Alligator mississippiensis: one gene and its partner. The protein of the gene in region 2 purifies or fractionates together with the protein of the main gene of each other region. This does not show direct contact. Links are inferred from orthologs where the notes say so. Each region holds a gene or a part of one and is shown on either strand. Other genes may lie near its edges.

The links.
Region 1: the proteins of TCOF1 (region 2) and ARRB1 purify together in Homo sapiens (affinity purification with western blotting; 5 studies listed by BioGRID and IntAct, with this or other methods). This does not show direct contact. The link is inferred for Alligator mississippiensis from reciprocal best matches to the Homo sapiens genes TCOF1 and ARRB1.

What each region holds. Positions count from the first base shown.
Region 1 is NC_081824.1:478,359,459-478,367,015, reverse strand, and holds the start of ARRB1 (beta-arrestin-1), read right to left. Parts: upstream 3,095-7,557; 5' UTR 3,080-3,094; coding exon 2,908-3,079; intron 2,656-2,907; exon of another isoform or gene 1,358-2,655; coding exon of another isoform or gene 1,234-1,357; intron 1-1,233. UniProt on the Homo sapiens protein: Functions in regulating agonist-mediated G-protein coupled receptor (GPCR) signaling by mediating both receptor desensitization and resensitization processes.
Region 2 is NC_081832.1:75,212,648-75,220,300, reverse strand, and holds the start of TCOF1 (treacle protein), read right to left. Parts: upstream 3,112-7,653; 5' UTR 3,104-3,111; coding exon 2,942-3,103; intron 379-2,941; coding exon 323-378; intron 1-322.

The sequences.
Region 1 (7,557 bases), on a different chromosome or scaffold from region 2:
GAGTCTCGTGGCCTTTCTCCTGGCCTGCCCCAGAGAAGGTGTACGCTCCAGCTTCCTTCTGCGAGCTGCACCCAGGCCTCTGAGGCCTGCCGGACCGGGTGGCACGTACGGCTTCGAGCTGTACAGCACCCACCGCACGCCAGGCTAGGCAGAAGGCTTCAACTTCCTGCACCTGGTTGCCTCTGTGCTTTTTTCCACAGCACTGGCATGCTGACAAACTCCTCAGTCCCGTGCTAGACTGGAGCAGCAAGTCCCTCGAGGCTAATGCACTGCACGGAAACATCGCCTCGCCTCCCAGGCAGACCTGCCGCCCCTTCCTGACTTCGTATGAGTTTCTGTGGTGGGCGAAGGCGTGAATGCAGGATGGCATGGCAGGGGCAGGGAGGTGCCGGGAAGGCAGAGAGGAGCCAGCGGGGCTGCCGAGGTGGCTCAGATTCACGGAGAATGAAGGTGCCCGCGTCTGGCTCCAGCGATGTTTTGCCCGCAGAACGAGGCACGCTCAGCTCCGGGTGCTTCCATCTCAGTGGTAAAACTAGACCCTCGAATCCACGGCCGTGCTCCTTGAGACCCGCCGCTCCTCGGGCCATGCACACCGATGGCCAGAAGCAAAGTGGTCGGTCTGCAGAGACGTCTGGCTCCAATCCACAACCAACGCGGTGTAGTCGGGGCCCTTCCTACACACTGACATTAATGGCGTCTTAGCCATTTGGGTTGCGGGGAGGGGCAGCGGATGAAAACGAAGCGAACGACTTTGCATCCGATGCGGCTGAGCCAGGGTGAGCGGCTCTCCCCAGAACAAAGAAACTGGATGCGGGGGTGAGTCAGGTCTGCAAATTCCCAGGGTGGAGAAATTGGAAGTCTGAAAAAGGGTTTTGTTGGGTTTTTTTTTTTTTTCCCCTAGCTAATGGGTAATCAAAGCGGGACTGTAATTAGATACGAGAAGAAGAGCATTACATATGGGGTGGGAGATAATGGAGAAGCAATATGCTCTGCCGCCCTGGGTAATTAAACCGGAAAGCTAGCGGCCTCGGAGATGCATAATGAACAGAGGTAACAACAACCTGAAATGCTCTGATTCTTGCTGCCAGGGGCCGGCGGGAGCTTCTGAAGACCCCGTTTTGCCGCTGCAATGCCCAAGAGCCAGGCCTTTTTCACGCACGTTGCAAAGTCCCCATGACGATGCCCCAAGCAATAGGGCTAAGCAAATCCCGCTAAGACGCTTGTGTTCCTTACCGTCTCCGATTTCTGCCGGGACCTGGCGTAGGGGACCTGGGCTCCAGTCATTAGCTATTGGAGAGGGGACAAGGGGAGGGGAGGTTTCACATCTCATGGTCTCTGGCTTTCCTTTCAGACACATTTGTGGCTTCTGCAGCCTGCTGCCACTAGCTCGGCCTGCCTAATGGATCGGCAGCCTCCTTGCTGCACCCTGTCTTTCACCTCTCCAAACTCAACCTTAAAAGGGTGCAGCGAGCAGCAGGCATCCAGAGGATAAAGCCCTTTTCAGACCAGCCTGCACCATACAGGCCAGAGGTGCATCTCCCTCAGTCTGATGCAGCTTCATTCGACCGGGTCCTGCCCCCCCGGCATCTGAAGCATAATCCTGAATCAAGCCATTGCTTTCCACGACATTGCTCCAGGTTTCCAGCAGCGCCAGTGGTGCCTCTTACCCCACTGTAAAGCAGGGGCTCGGTGGGTCGAGGGCCCAGGTGACTCTGTCTCTCTATTTAAAGTGCAGAGGAGGTAGGTGCCTCCCCAGGCTTTGTGGGCTCCACGCCCAGAACCAAGCTCCTAAATTTTAGGCGTTGAATGCTCGGCGTTGCCGCTGTAACTGCCTCTCCGGATCTGGCCCTTCGGCCCTCCTGAAAACTTTACACAAGGGCTTGCACAAGGGCTGGCGGAGTCACAGGAGATCTGGGGCCGGTTCCTGGCTCTGCCACAAGCTTCCCGTGCAACCTTGGGCAAGTCTTCTTGCCCCTTGCATCTATGGTGGGCAGGACAACACAACCGGTGCCTCTCCAGATGTTCGGCTCTTCGGGACACGGCCTGCTCCCGGTGGTGTGAAGAGCAACCAATGCTACGGGCCTCTGATCTCAGCAGGGGTTTCCAGGTGCTACTTTCATATAGATAAGAAGTAATAGAAGGAAATCCCTGGGAAAGGATCTCGCCGTATGCCATGCAAACAGGTCTGGACTCTTTCAGTCCCTCTCCAACAGTCACGTCTCACCCTGCCAGGAGCTCATTACATCTCATTCCCAGGACCGCAGGCTGCAGCCTGGGCCTGCACATCCCAAAGTCTTCTCACAGACAGGAAAAATAGTTCCCTGAGCCCCCTTCACACCTAGAGCTGTGGTTTTCCTGGGACCCCCACCCCAGCCTCAGCACGCACAGAAACCAGGTCGCTCCAAGCCAGGCTGGGTTCGATGGAGGCAGGCTCCCATGCCTGTCGGGATGCCAACTTCCAATTGATCGTGCACTTTAGCAACCGCCCGATATCCTGATCCTTCACACGCTGCCATCGATGGGAGGTTTGCCAGGGAGAGCAGGGTTGGATGCCTGCCCCTACCGCAGCAGCTGCCCGGGCACAGCTGGCACGGTGCAAACCCTGGCTGCACTGGTGTAAGAGATCGCTGGGCGGTCCGCAGCACGCATCCCACTGGTTTGCCTCTATAACCAGACCTCGTACCTACAGCCACTGCTCTCCCTCCTCCTACCTTCTTCCTCAACACCCGCTTTGCTGGATAAGCAGCGGGCCAGGCAGCCAGCCAGCTGGAACAGCTCCTCTCTCTTGCATTCATCAGCATTTTGTCATTTATTGCAGCACAAACATTGGGGCATGGTAATTCATTGACCAGACACCTCGTCTAGCTGCCCTGTGCAAATGCACACTCTAACTGGCGCGACTCTCACCCTCCCTTCCGAGATTCGTCGGGTCTGGTCTGAAACGAGGCAGTGGCATGAACTGTCCTCTATGATGTATTGAAACAGCACCCTGCACGCTTGGGCTTGCATCCCGGCTGCAGCCCCCGGGTGCTGCAGGCATCCTGGTCGTCAGCATCCTCTCTGCAAAGTCCAGACCCATCCAACCGCTAGCTAATGTTCCCTTCGAGTGGGTAGGATGGGCATGAGAGCACACTCCAGCCACGACCGGGGAAACTTGCTGATGTGGAAAATCTCTAACCCTCCTGTCTAATTACAGCTACGGCAAGGCTGTTGCATAAGCCCCCCCGTTCGGTACGCGCTGTCCTTGGAGACAGCACAAAGCCAAAGCACTTCTGCACCCGCATCCCGGGCTGGGCTGCTCTTTGCATTGGGAATCCCACCAGGTGAACCAAGCCAAGCAGCCACTTACCAACAGGATCCACCATGTCTATGTGGTCCACGAAGTCCCTCTTCCCAAGGTAGACTGTGAGCTGCAGGGAGAGGGGACACAAAGGGAATCAGGGACGGAGCAGACAAGCAGCCGGTGCCCATGCTCCACAAGGCCCAATCCCATATAAACCCCCCTGGTCACTTCTGTTCCACTGGAGAAGGCAAAACTAATGTTCAAATTGGGATTAATGGGGCAAGGGAGAGTGACGGCGTCTCCAAGACTCGATGTCTACAGCGGTGGGACAGGACCTGAATGTGGGGTGGCATGGGGTGGTTTAAGGGGGACACTTTTTAATACAGTTTCCAGGGGATAGTGGGGTATCATCCCTGGGGTAGCAGGTCAGGAGCAGGCAAGCTCTTCTCCATCCAGTGTGGAATATTTGGGCTTAAAGCGGCAGGACAAAGAGGGGGCTGTGAGAGTGAACTTGCCTGCAACCCTGCACAGCCCCTGAGCACCCTTTTCCTCTGTTTGCTGGCTGCCTGGCCAGGAGGGTCGGACCCGTCCTGGCAGGTCAGGGATGCTATAGAGACAGGCCTCGAGGAACATCGCAGCAGCGCTCGCAGTGTGCAATGGTGTGACCCACGCTTTCGGGGTGCAACCCACGCCTTAAGCACACAGGGCTCTCGCTAAAGATAGCAGCTTGACCAAGAGCTAATCATGGAAAGCACTGGGTCAGCAACACATTCCCCACCTGCCTCCTAGGGGGCATCGCCATTGCCATCCCCATCCCCGGTGGTACAGGAACCTGCTATCTCACCAGGCACTGCCTGCTCCGGTAGCGAGTATAGCAATGAGCAAGGCGGCTCATTCATGAGCTTCCTTCTGGCTCTGCTTTTACATCACAGTGCCTGTTTTTGACTCCTCGCTTGACCATTAGTCCTTGCAGGCGATGGATCCTCCAGCCCACATCTGGAAGGAGAGCTGGGAGTGGGAAACACCCTGCTTAGCATCCCTGTGCTGTGAGCCCAGGGTGTATCTAGAGCAGTGATTCTCAACAGGGTGCCCCAGGAGGCCGCACAGCATTAGCACCGCTAGGTGTGCAAACGGGATGTGCAAGATACACCCAGGTCTGGGACAGACATTGCATCAACCGGTTTGTTAAGTCTGAGACTACATTCGACCAGGTTTGTCTCAAACCGGTTTCAGCCCTTTTCAAACTGGTTTATGTGCCCTGAACATCTGTTCTGTTCCAGGTTTAAACCAGTTTCTGATCACTGAAACTGGTTTATGTGTAATGTCCGTCCCTAGCCCGAGATTTCAAACAGGAATTCATAGTTGGGGTCTTTTGAAGAACTTTGCAGCAGAAAACCTGCTCTATTATTTCTCCAAAAAAAAAGAGTGACAGGTGAGAGCTGGTGTTTTCCCAAGGGGGTCTTGATCTATCCAGGGGTGTCGCATGTCTAAAACCCCTGGTCTTGAGTGACCCGCCTTACTCTTCCTCGCATCCACCATCATTGATTTAGAGATGCCAGAGAATACAGCCCTCATTGGTGTGTTTAATACCTATTAATAGACTGATCATCCAAGAATTGGTCTAGCCCCTTCCTGAACCTGGCTATGCTATCTGCCCCGACAGCTTCCTGCGGCAGCGAGTCCCACAGGTTAACAACGCAGCGAGTGAAAAAGCCCTTTCTCCGAGTTCATTTTAAGCTCATCGCCTATTTATTTCAACGAGCGCTCCCTAGTTCCAGCATCTGGGACACGGCAAGTAGCAGTTGTCATTTGGTGCACACCCTTCGTGATTGTATAGACCTCTACCATATCCCTCCTCGGCCGCCGTCTTTCCAAACTAAAGAGTCTCACCCAGCCTTTCTAGTCTTTCCTAGTACGGCAGCTGCTCTATATCCCCAATTATTTGGGTCGCTCTTCTCCGTGCCTTTTTTAACCTTACTACATCCTTTTTGAGATAAGGAGACCAAAACCCATGCGAGGGTACCACCCACCCCTGCATCAGGGTTCGCAGCAAATGCATCCAACCGGGAACACTGCCAGGCTCCGGCCAGGTACATCCATCAAACCATAGCTCAAGTTAATCTGCTTATCCTGAATGCATTAATAAGCCTAATAAGTAAATCCCCTGTCTGGCAGGGCCTGTGTGGGTAGCTGGGGTATCATGTGCAGTCCCATACAGCTTTGTTGGCATGCCATACTCATTTCCAGTTCTCCTTGCAACCAAAGGAGCTCCTCTCTTGAAGTCGGCTCTTTCACCTCGGGATGAGGCCTGGTTCTTCTCAGGGTGCCAAGGTTGGATGGAGATTTCTCCCTGGCTCCATTTCTGAAACCTCCCTCAGGCCTAAGCCAATAAGTAGGGAGGGCAGAAGGGCAAAGATCTGCATCGGAGAGACATGGCTGTCAGCGGCTCTCCGAGCCAAGCTGCTGGATGGACATGCAGGCAACAGATGGTCCCGAGCAGCTTACAAAGGAGCTGAAACCGTCGGCAGTACAGGAAGGATGCAGCTCAATGGGTTTTGTGCCTCTTGCATGGCATTAGAAAAGATATACAACCCGCCGGGTTTTACCGCTGTCTGATTTTATCATAGCCCAGCCCTTAAATCCTGCTTGTAGCACAATGATCCATCTAACCCGAGACGTTTCCCCAGCGGTATCCCCAGCACGGCTCGCTGCTGGTCTGCATGGGAGGAATTTGCAGCCGCAGCAAACAGCCCCGCACATGACCAGCCCGTCCCTTTGGCTGCCTGCAGCATCCCCCTTCCTCGTGCCTCAGCCGTTGTCTGCAGGGTTGTCCCTGGGACCTGAGCGTGAATGAAAATCAGGCCCCTACCTTCCTCTAGGAGTGGAAAGCACCAAGGCATTTTTGTCTCAGCTGGAAAAACAGCCCCCCAACAGCGTGTGCTTGGTGTCGTAGGCCTGCCGGAGAGCCCTCTGACTCCAGGGGTCCATAGATGTGCGGATAGCCCTGCCGGCTTGCAGCACTCACGGCCTGTCCAGCGTGCAATGGCACTGGCACGGAGGGGGCCGATTGCCTGGCTTGGAGGTAAGGGGGGATGCTTTTCCCGGGAGGTCCCATGTCACCTGCACCCGGCTTAGCCAGACGGCACCCGGCGAGCCCAACGGGCCAGGAGCGCCAGCACGGTGCTGCTCTCCCTGCTCATGGGAAGGGGATGGTAATGAAGCTGGCAGTGGCTCCGGGAGGACTGGCAGTCCAACCGCTTGCTTCCTGCTGCGCTGTAATCACTTCTCAGGCATTTCTCTCCCCAGTTATGCCAGAGACAGAGCTCAGCAAGCGCTCGTGCAGCAGGATCCCCCAGGGAGGCACTCTCCGGCCAGATGGCACGGCGGATCGCCAGCCAGGCAATCAGCTGCAGGATGTTTAGAGAGATGCACTAAGATACCCAGGGCTGAAAGGCAGAGAGGGGAAGGCTGGCAGAACCGTCTCCCCGCTCCTCCAGCATGTTCTTATCCAGGGCTAGGGACGGGGTCACTTTGCAACAGGCTCTGCCCTTCAGGGGTCCTGCCTGCACCAAACAAGAGCCCGGGAGCAAGCTGCAAGGCGGCACCAGTCTGGAGCCCTGTGCGATGAGGATCCAGTCCTCCCGGCTGCAAAGCGGCATCCCCTCCGGGTCACACGTGTGAGGACAGAGGTGCAGGAGGGACACCTCTGATGGACGAGCGCTAAACGGACCAGACGCGGGTTCTGCCTTCTCTCTCCGTCGGTCCAAGACAGATGCGATGAGTGTTATAATCCCAGCACCATCAGGCACAGGCCTAGGAACTGTCCTGATCCTGAGACAGACCCAGGCCAGAGCGGGCAGGGACGAGGGGCACCTCTATCAGCTGGGGGATGCTCCACAAACCACCTGCAATACGAGACGACCTGCCGTCACCTCCTGCACGAGTCTTCAGTTAACAGCTGACGGAGCAGGAGATTTTGGTCATCTCTGCCGCTGTTTCCAGTAATCATGTTCAGGGCTGTCTTATATCGCTTGGTCCAATGCCCGAGAGCACACGGAGTGCGTCTCAGCGCTCTGTTAAGGACAGTGCTGAGTTTTTTTAGTGTGCCAGCTTCGGGCGCTCAGGGGCTGGTAGCATGCAGCTGGCCTGGTCCCGTGGGACGACTGCCCATCATCCTGGAGTGGGTTTGCAAATCCTTGTCCTGGTCAAAGGGGCTCTTTCGGCTGCGCATCAAGAGAAGCGATGGCGTGCCGAGCAATGCATCACCCATGCCC
Region 2 (7,653 bases):
AAAAGATTTTTGCTGGTGGATGATTTCCTGCCCCCTAAACTCTGCCATGTGGAGTGCAACCAGACCGAACAGTATTTAACTCTTATGCCCTAGGAGAGCTGTCTTTTAAGCAGCTGTAGATGCGGAAGGCAGGGCATGGTAGTGGAGAAGACCCCATCGTTCAAACCACATTTCCATCTTGCAGCAGCGAGAGTATTTCCGGTAAGTCAGCCCACCCCAGCGAGCAGAAACCGCAAAGGCAGCCGAATTTGGTTCCTGCTATGGTGGGAGAGAAAAATGAGTTGGAGCCTTTTTGATAAGGGTTTCTACTGGACGGACTTACTTCTTCCAGTGGGTGAAGATCTCCTCGAGAGAGGTCGGCAGCGAAGGAAACTCTTTCTGCGGGAGAAACAGAAAGGAAACATTAATTCCAGTTCTTATCAAGGTGCAAGGGAAAGCAGGAAGCAGATGGAAAGACACTGCAAAAAACATGACTTAAGGGGTCTCAGCAGATGACTAAGAAACCATCGAACAGAACTGCAGCCCCCATCGTTTCAGTTCAAGGTCCACTACCAACACGATACAAAGGAAGTCGAAGGACTCAGCTGCTCCATGCAACTCGGGAGAGCTCCACCACTGTCAGCAGAAGGATTTACGTGGAAGGTCTAGTCTCAGGTCTACACTGCAGATGTTTGCATGGAGAAAAGGCACCGTGGGTTAGGAACAGCGCCACGTGGGATCTCCACCAGCTTCGCTCAGGACTAAGGTGCCTGGCAGCACTGTTTAAAGGCAGTTCGCAGCATCTCTGAGTGGGACCGAGTTCGAATTACTGCTCTCCATCCTCGACTTTTGCAGCCCTGCACTAGCCAGCCCATTAAAGACAACGATGCCCGCTTCTGGGGAGGCCGACTGGAGGTTTCCAACACACTTCTGGCTACGTGCACAGAGGCCAGTCAGCACGTGCAGCCCTAGACAGCCTCATGAAAAGTCGGCAGGAGCGGTTTAACTCACCAGCTGAGGTCGAATGGGTATTAATTCCCCCTCCATCCCTTGCACGCATGCGCAGATACAGCAATAAGGCCAAGCTCAGGATGCCTCCTTTCCCAGCTAGCATTTTATTTTAAAGCAAAGTTCTCACTTTCCCATGGGACCGCGGACGCCAAAAGAAAAAGGGCGCCCTACTTGGAGCAACCATTCAATCAGTCTGGCGTCTGGTCCAGATCACACAGAAACCACCAGCCCAGCCCTCGCTCCCTCCCCGCCACGCACCATGGCTTATATTTGGAGGTAGTGGGGATCCAGCAGGAATAGCCTAGGCAGCCGCAGCACGTCCACCCCGTCACGGGGCAGTCACAGGAGCACAAGCAAGCAATTGTTGGGACCTGTCAAGAGGCTGGAAGCAGTGGCCATGGGGAGCAGGGGGGGCTGCAGCCTGGCCACGAGGTTCCTCCCAGGCTGGGCCAGGGGGATGAAGGTATAGGAAGCACCGCAAATGCAATGCAATCAAATCCAGTGCAATGCAGTGCACTGAAATCATAGAAAACGAGGGTTAGAAGGGACCCCAGGAGGACGCATCTAGTTCAACCCCCTGCTCCAAGCAGGGCCAGCCCCAACTACAGCATCCCAGACAAGGCTTTGTCAACCCGGGTCTTAAACACCTCCAAGCATGCAGACTCCACCACCTCTCTGGGTAACTTGGCCCAGTGCTTCACCACCCTCCTAGTGAGAAAATTCTTCCTAATATCCAGCCCAACCCAATGCAATGCACTGAAACCCAGTGCAACCTCTGGGAAGACTGTTTTAGGCTGGACATTGGAAAAATCTTCTTTACCATCCGGGTCTACAATCTGGAATAGACTCTCCCCCAGAAGTGGTGCAAGTACCTAGTCTGGACCCCTTTAAGACACACTTGGATGCTTATCTCACTGGGATCATTTGACCCCAGCAAACTTCCTGCCCCTGGGGCAGGGGGCTGGATCCCATGATCTTGCAATGTCCCTTCCAGCCCTAATGTCTACGGCAGAGGTTCTCAAACGGTGGTCCGCAGAAAGGTGACCTAAGACTAAAGCTGAAACATTACACTAGACTTCCTGGAACTTTGCTCATAAAAACAGGCACGTCCACTGCATTAAAGGTCAGACTACCGATATTAAAACATGAGTTGTGGGCTTTGATTTGTAGAACAAAAAACATTTTTATTAAGTGGTCTGCTGAGACCCTCAGCAATTTTCATGTGGTCCATGAAAAAAAGTTTGAGAACCACTGGTCTATGCAATGCCATGCACTGAAACCCAAGGCAACCCAGTGCATTGACGCCCGGGGCACCCCAATGCGCTGCCCTGATGCCCAGGGCACTGCAATACAACACACTGAAGCCCGGGGCACTGCGCTGAAGGCCAGGGCATTACAATACAATGCCCTGAAGGCCAGGGCACCCCGATGCACTGCACTGAAGCCCAGGGCACTGCAATACAACACACTGAAGGCCAGGGCACCCCGATGCACTGCACTGAAGGCCAGGGCACCCCCATGCACTGCACTGAAGGCCAGGGCACCCCCATGCACTGCACTGAAGGCCAGGGCACCCCCATGCAACACACTGAAGGCCAGGGCACCCCCATGCAACACACTGAAGGCCAGGGCACCCCCATGCACTGCACTGAAGGCCAGGGCACCCCCATGCAACACACTGAAGGCCAGGGCACCCCCATGCACTGCACTGAAGGCCAGGGCACCCCAATGCAACACACTGAAGCCCAGGGCATTGCAATGCACTGCCCTGAAGTCCGGGGCACCCCGATGCACTGCCCTGAAGGCCAGGGCACTGCCATACAACACACTGAAGGCCAGGGCACTGCACCGCGCTGGCCTGGAGGCCGGGGATCCCCTGGCAGCGCAGCGCAGCGCAGCGCAGCGCACGCGGCGGGGCCGGGCCGGGCCGGGCCGGGCCGGGCGCCCTTACCTGTCCGAGCTGGCGCTGGAGCTCGCGGGCGGCGCGGGCGAAGCCGGCCTGGCGCAGGTGGTGGTGGATGAAGGCGAGGAGCTCGCGCTGGTGCGGCCCCGCCGCGGCCATGCCGCCGCCCGCGTCCCGGTCCTGGCCCCGGCCCCGGCCTCGGCCCCGCATGCCGCCGCGCCGCGCCGCCCGCCGCCCTTTGCCCGCGCCGCCCCCTTCCTCTTCCCGGCAGCGCGGCCTTGTGGGGCGGGTAGTTCTTCCGCCCGCCCGCCTCCACTTACCCTCGCTGCAGCCCGAGCCCATTGCTCCGCGTCCTGAGACGGAAAACACCATGAAGTTGCTGGTTTGGTTTGGCTTGGCTTGGTTGCCCGTCCTCAGTGGGTCTCACCGCCGAGCCGAGAGGTTTCCATGCTGGCATGTCTTTTTAGTCAAGGAGTGGTTGTTGGAGGTTTTCTAAAGGAGATCAAAGAAGCGCGGGTCAGGGATGGTTTAGGGTCAGCTTTCCTTCACGCGGGCCGGGGGTCGCGGCCAGCCCTAGGAGTCCCCGAAACGGAGGGTCTGGGCAGGGGGTGGGCTCTGCGAGGCGGCCCCCACCCCTGAGTCTCTTTTCTTTCCAGGAAAAACCGGGCTCCGTTCACTTCGGCAGAGGTTTATTTTTGGAAGGTTTAATGCTGTGCACCGTGCACCCCTCCCGCCCTCAAACGCACAACCGTTATTAGTATTTATGGACGAGATTAAATATAAGCCTGGCTCTGCGCCAGCTGGCTCCCAAACCGAGCCCCTTCGACAGCCTCAGCCGTCAAGGTGAGCGCGAGCGCCCCGGGCCCGGGGCCGTCTTCCAGCAGCCAATGCAACACGACAGCTGCGCCGTTGCACCGGGCGAGTGATCGTTATGCAAACGATCGCGCATCATCGATACACATAAATATATGCGCTCGTGCAAATGATCGCCCGTCGTCAATATAAATCCAGGCGGTTGCTGAGTATGAACTGGAGAGCGTGGACCCGCCTGGCCTTCAGGCAAGTCTGCGTTAGGTTTTCAGCGCCCGTGGCTTTATGACCAAGGAGAGAGACCCCACCAAGGTCAACCCGGCGTGGACGTCCGTGGGGTTACGCCAGCGTTAAAACCCCGGGTGCAAATGAGAATCAGCCTCTGAGACTTAAAAGGGCCACTGTCTGCTGCACATATATTTAGGAGCAGATTTTGACCTACTTTGACACGGGCCCATCTGGAAGGGTTTTTTATACCTCCAGGAGTCTTTCCGTTTGTTTTGCTTTGATTTCTTTTTTTAAGTAATGTTGCGACACGCCGGGAGCTTGTTTTTCGAAAACCGCGCGGAGGGCCACATGCGAGGCTCACGATAGAAAACAAGATGTGTCATGCAAGGTTTTCCATGCAAGGTTTTCAGCTCTCACCGAGTTGCATAGGAAGCCTGGACGCGCTAAAGGGGGTGTCCATTCGCTGCCTCCTGCTGAGAAAGGCCTGTCTGCTGCAAATATCCCCACAGAGCACCCACCCTGGGCAGAATTTGCCTCTTCCAGGTGATTACTGCAATCCTTAGCATTCAAAGATCTTCATGCCCACTCATCCTCATCTCTCATCTGGGAGAACAGGGGGGAAGTGACGATGTACCCCAAGTCATGGAAGGGGCCTAGATTCTCCAAAAAGCTCCGGACGGGGGTTTTTCGGTGCTCAGCAGCTACTGTAGGCTCCCCTTTCAGTGCCCAGGCAAGATGCTCCCTGGGGCAGCGAGTCCCATGCAACTAACCTCAACGTGTGCCCTGGAATAAGGGCAGGGAGGCACCACAAGAGATCTTCTAGCTCAGCCCCGTGCTCGAGGCCGGGTCAGCCCTGCCTAGACCCACTTAAAGGCCTTGACGGTCGTGGGCCCTGATTTGGGTTGTCCCACGTCACAAGTAATGCCCTGCCTGCTTGCAGCACCCTTCATTCTCCCTGCCTGCCTGCCCACGGAGGCAAAATGCACTGTGGAAATGAGCGCCGCTGGAGGGTCCCGGTGGCTGGAGTCGTGGGCAGGACTTGCACTCGACACCATTCAGAATTTTTTTTTTGGAAAATTTGTCTCATTCTGGGTCGAACTGGCCGAACCCTCTCGATTGAGCAGCGCTTTATCGTTCAAACACCGTACGTGGCTCTGCAACCGGCAGGAATCTGTCACCCCAGACTTTGCAGCCTGTGGCTTCAGATGCTCCCAGATCCATTGGTGGGCATCCTATGTGCGGACCCAAGCCCGGGGGCTTGGGGTTTGGATGCCCCTGAGTCTCACTTGCCCAGCGCTGCCCTCTCTGGACCCAAGCTTGGCCTGGGCTCTTGCTGCCTCTCTCCTATTAACGTGCTCGAGAAGCCCCGGGCAAGCTGCGGGCACCTGCGCCAGCCGTATCCTGCATGCCAATGAAGTTCCCCATTCCCACTTCCTTCTTTGCAATCCCCAGCTCCTTTTTCCAGGAATTTCAGCTACACAAAATAACAGGAGTCCTAATAGGTGCAAAGCAAGATGGGAGGGGGGCAGCAAGCCGGCTAGGTGGGGAGGGCAAAGAGAAGGATGGCATTAAGGCCACGCAGGTGAGACAGCCGTCCAGGTGGGATAACAACGTGTGGAGAGCATCCCTATAAAAAAGGCTTAAAAATTGGTGCTTTCTTTCCAAGCAAGCAATCCTGCTCCGGTGCGGGGTCACTTCAGTCCAGAGCCTCCCTCGCGTGCTCGAGCCCTGAACACGGCTCAGTCGGCGGCGCTGCCGGGACCTGTAGTAACACAACCCGCTCCAGCGAATGCATCTGAAGAATTTTTTTGTCGTGCCGCAGTTACAGGTAAGGAAGGTAAACAGGGCGTATAATAAATAGAGCGATTCAGCCAAGCAAACAGCTGCACAATTATAAATAGGAAAATCCTCCCTAGCCCAAACCCCACCGAGGAAAAAAACCAAAACTCCCCGAACAGCATGCAGTTATTAAAAGGTGAGGTTTTTTTTCATGCATTTTTGAAGGAGCTTGGAGCTATTTTGCCAGGTCTTTATTTTTAGGAAGGTGAAATATCCTCAGTGGATTTGAAAAGCTAACCTTTCAGCTATGTGATTTCCATGCCAGGACACTGAGTCATGAAAGGATTGCAGGAAGCTCTTTAAAATCCAGACAAGGATAAAGCTGTAGTAATTTAATAGGCAGCTCAGGACACTTATGCCCAGGCAGGCCTGTTCGTGTCCAGCGCTCCACAAGCCGGGTGCATTGCTTGCTGGTTTAGAGGCCTTTGATTATCGGTTTGTGAAAAGCTCGCCCACATCTATTCCATCCTGAATTACTCCACTCATGCCCCGTCTAAAGCACGGCTTGGGAGCATTTAGCAAACTGGGAAGCTGCTGTCAATCAGCTCCTCAGCCATCTGGAAGCTGGCATTTCCTATGGATACTTGTCTGTGGACCCGTAGGCCTGTGAGGACGCTTTCCTCCCATCTTTACCACGAATGCTGAGCGAGGTTCAGCTTAGTTTCTTTGCTTAATAATGGATCCTTGACATTAGGTACTTATAGTCGGGAAATGTGCACCATAGATAGGGGGCTGTTCCCTGAGCCGCTCAGATCTGCATTACAACCTCCCCCCGTGACCCTGCATCCCAAGTTTGGGGGGATTTGGGTCCAGGTGGTTGGCCACATCTATTGGGCAGAGCGGCAGCTGCAAAATCCAGGGCCAGCTTAGCCACGCAGAGAAATCGGAGGATCTGCAGGGACACTTGGGCATTAGGGCCAGCTGCAGCAGCACGTGGCAGTCAGCCGGGGTCAAGGATCTCGCTTCACGGTCTCTATGTATCGTGAGCAAAGTAATCCTGCTGTAACAATTGGCCACGCTAAAAAATAAAACATGTTGGAGGTGGTCTAATTTACCCCGATAAATCGAGCTCTACCACGATAAAGACGTCAAGGTGTATTTTCAGACACGACTAACCTAGCAAAGTGGCAATTTTTGGCGCCGTGACGTGTACAAGTGCTCTATAGCGCTGCATGCAGCATCTCTGTATAACTGTGATTATGACCTTAGTGAATATACTTGATTTCTAAAGACCCCAAGGTGCCCCTAAGGCTTTGCTTTCTCCTCTGAACAACCAACAGGGGCCATGGGGAGACAGGACGGTGAACGGACCTCTCCAGGCAGTGGTGTCCCATGCACCCGCTAGGTCTCGTCTAGACGGAAGAGGGCCGCCGAATAAATCGCCCGCCCGCTCTCTGCCCGGTGGGGTGGCCCACCCTGACCCTGCTCAGCTCGAGAAAGCTGGCTAGGTCACCACATGATGGTGGGCAAAGAAATAGCCTATGGCTAGGTAGCCGTGCAGCAGGACTGAAGTGCCCACCCAGCAAAGACCCTCCACCGATGCTTTGCAAGGAGGCCCTTTGGAAATAATCCCGTCCTGGCTGGGCTGAAGGGCAGCACCAGGTCAGGGCCATTCTCTCCAGTGCAGACGCAGCGGGGAAGGGGCTGCCTGTTGGGGACATCATATCCTTTCTGGGTTAAATCTGGAGACAGGGCTCAGAGGTGGTGCACAGAGTCCAGTCCATGCCTGGCTGGTCTGTCTCACTCCCATGCTCACGGTCATACTGGTTACCATATCCAGGGCTGGGATGGAAGTGGTCAGAGGAGCAGGAGGCTGTATGGGGCAGGTTCCTCTTCCCCTGCTGGCTTACCTTTGAGGATCGCCTGGATGCATCTCAAGGAAT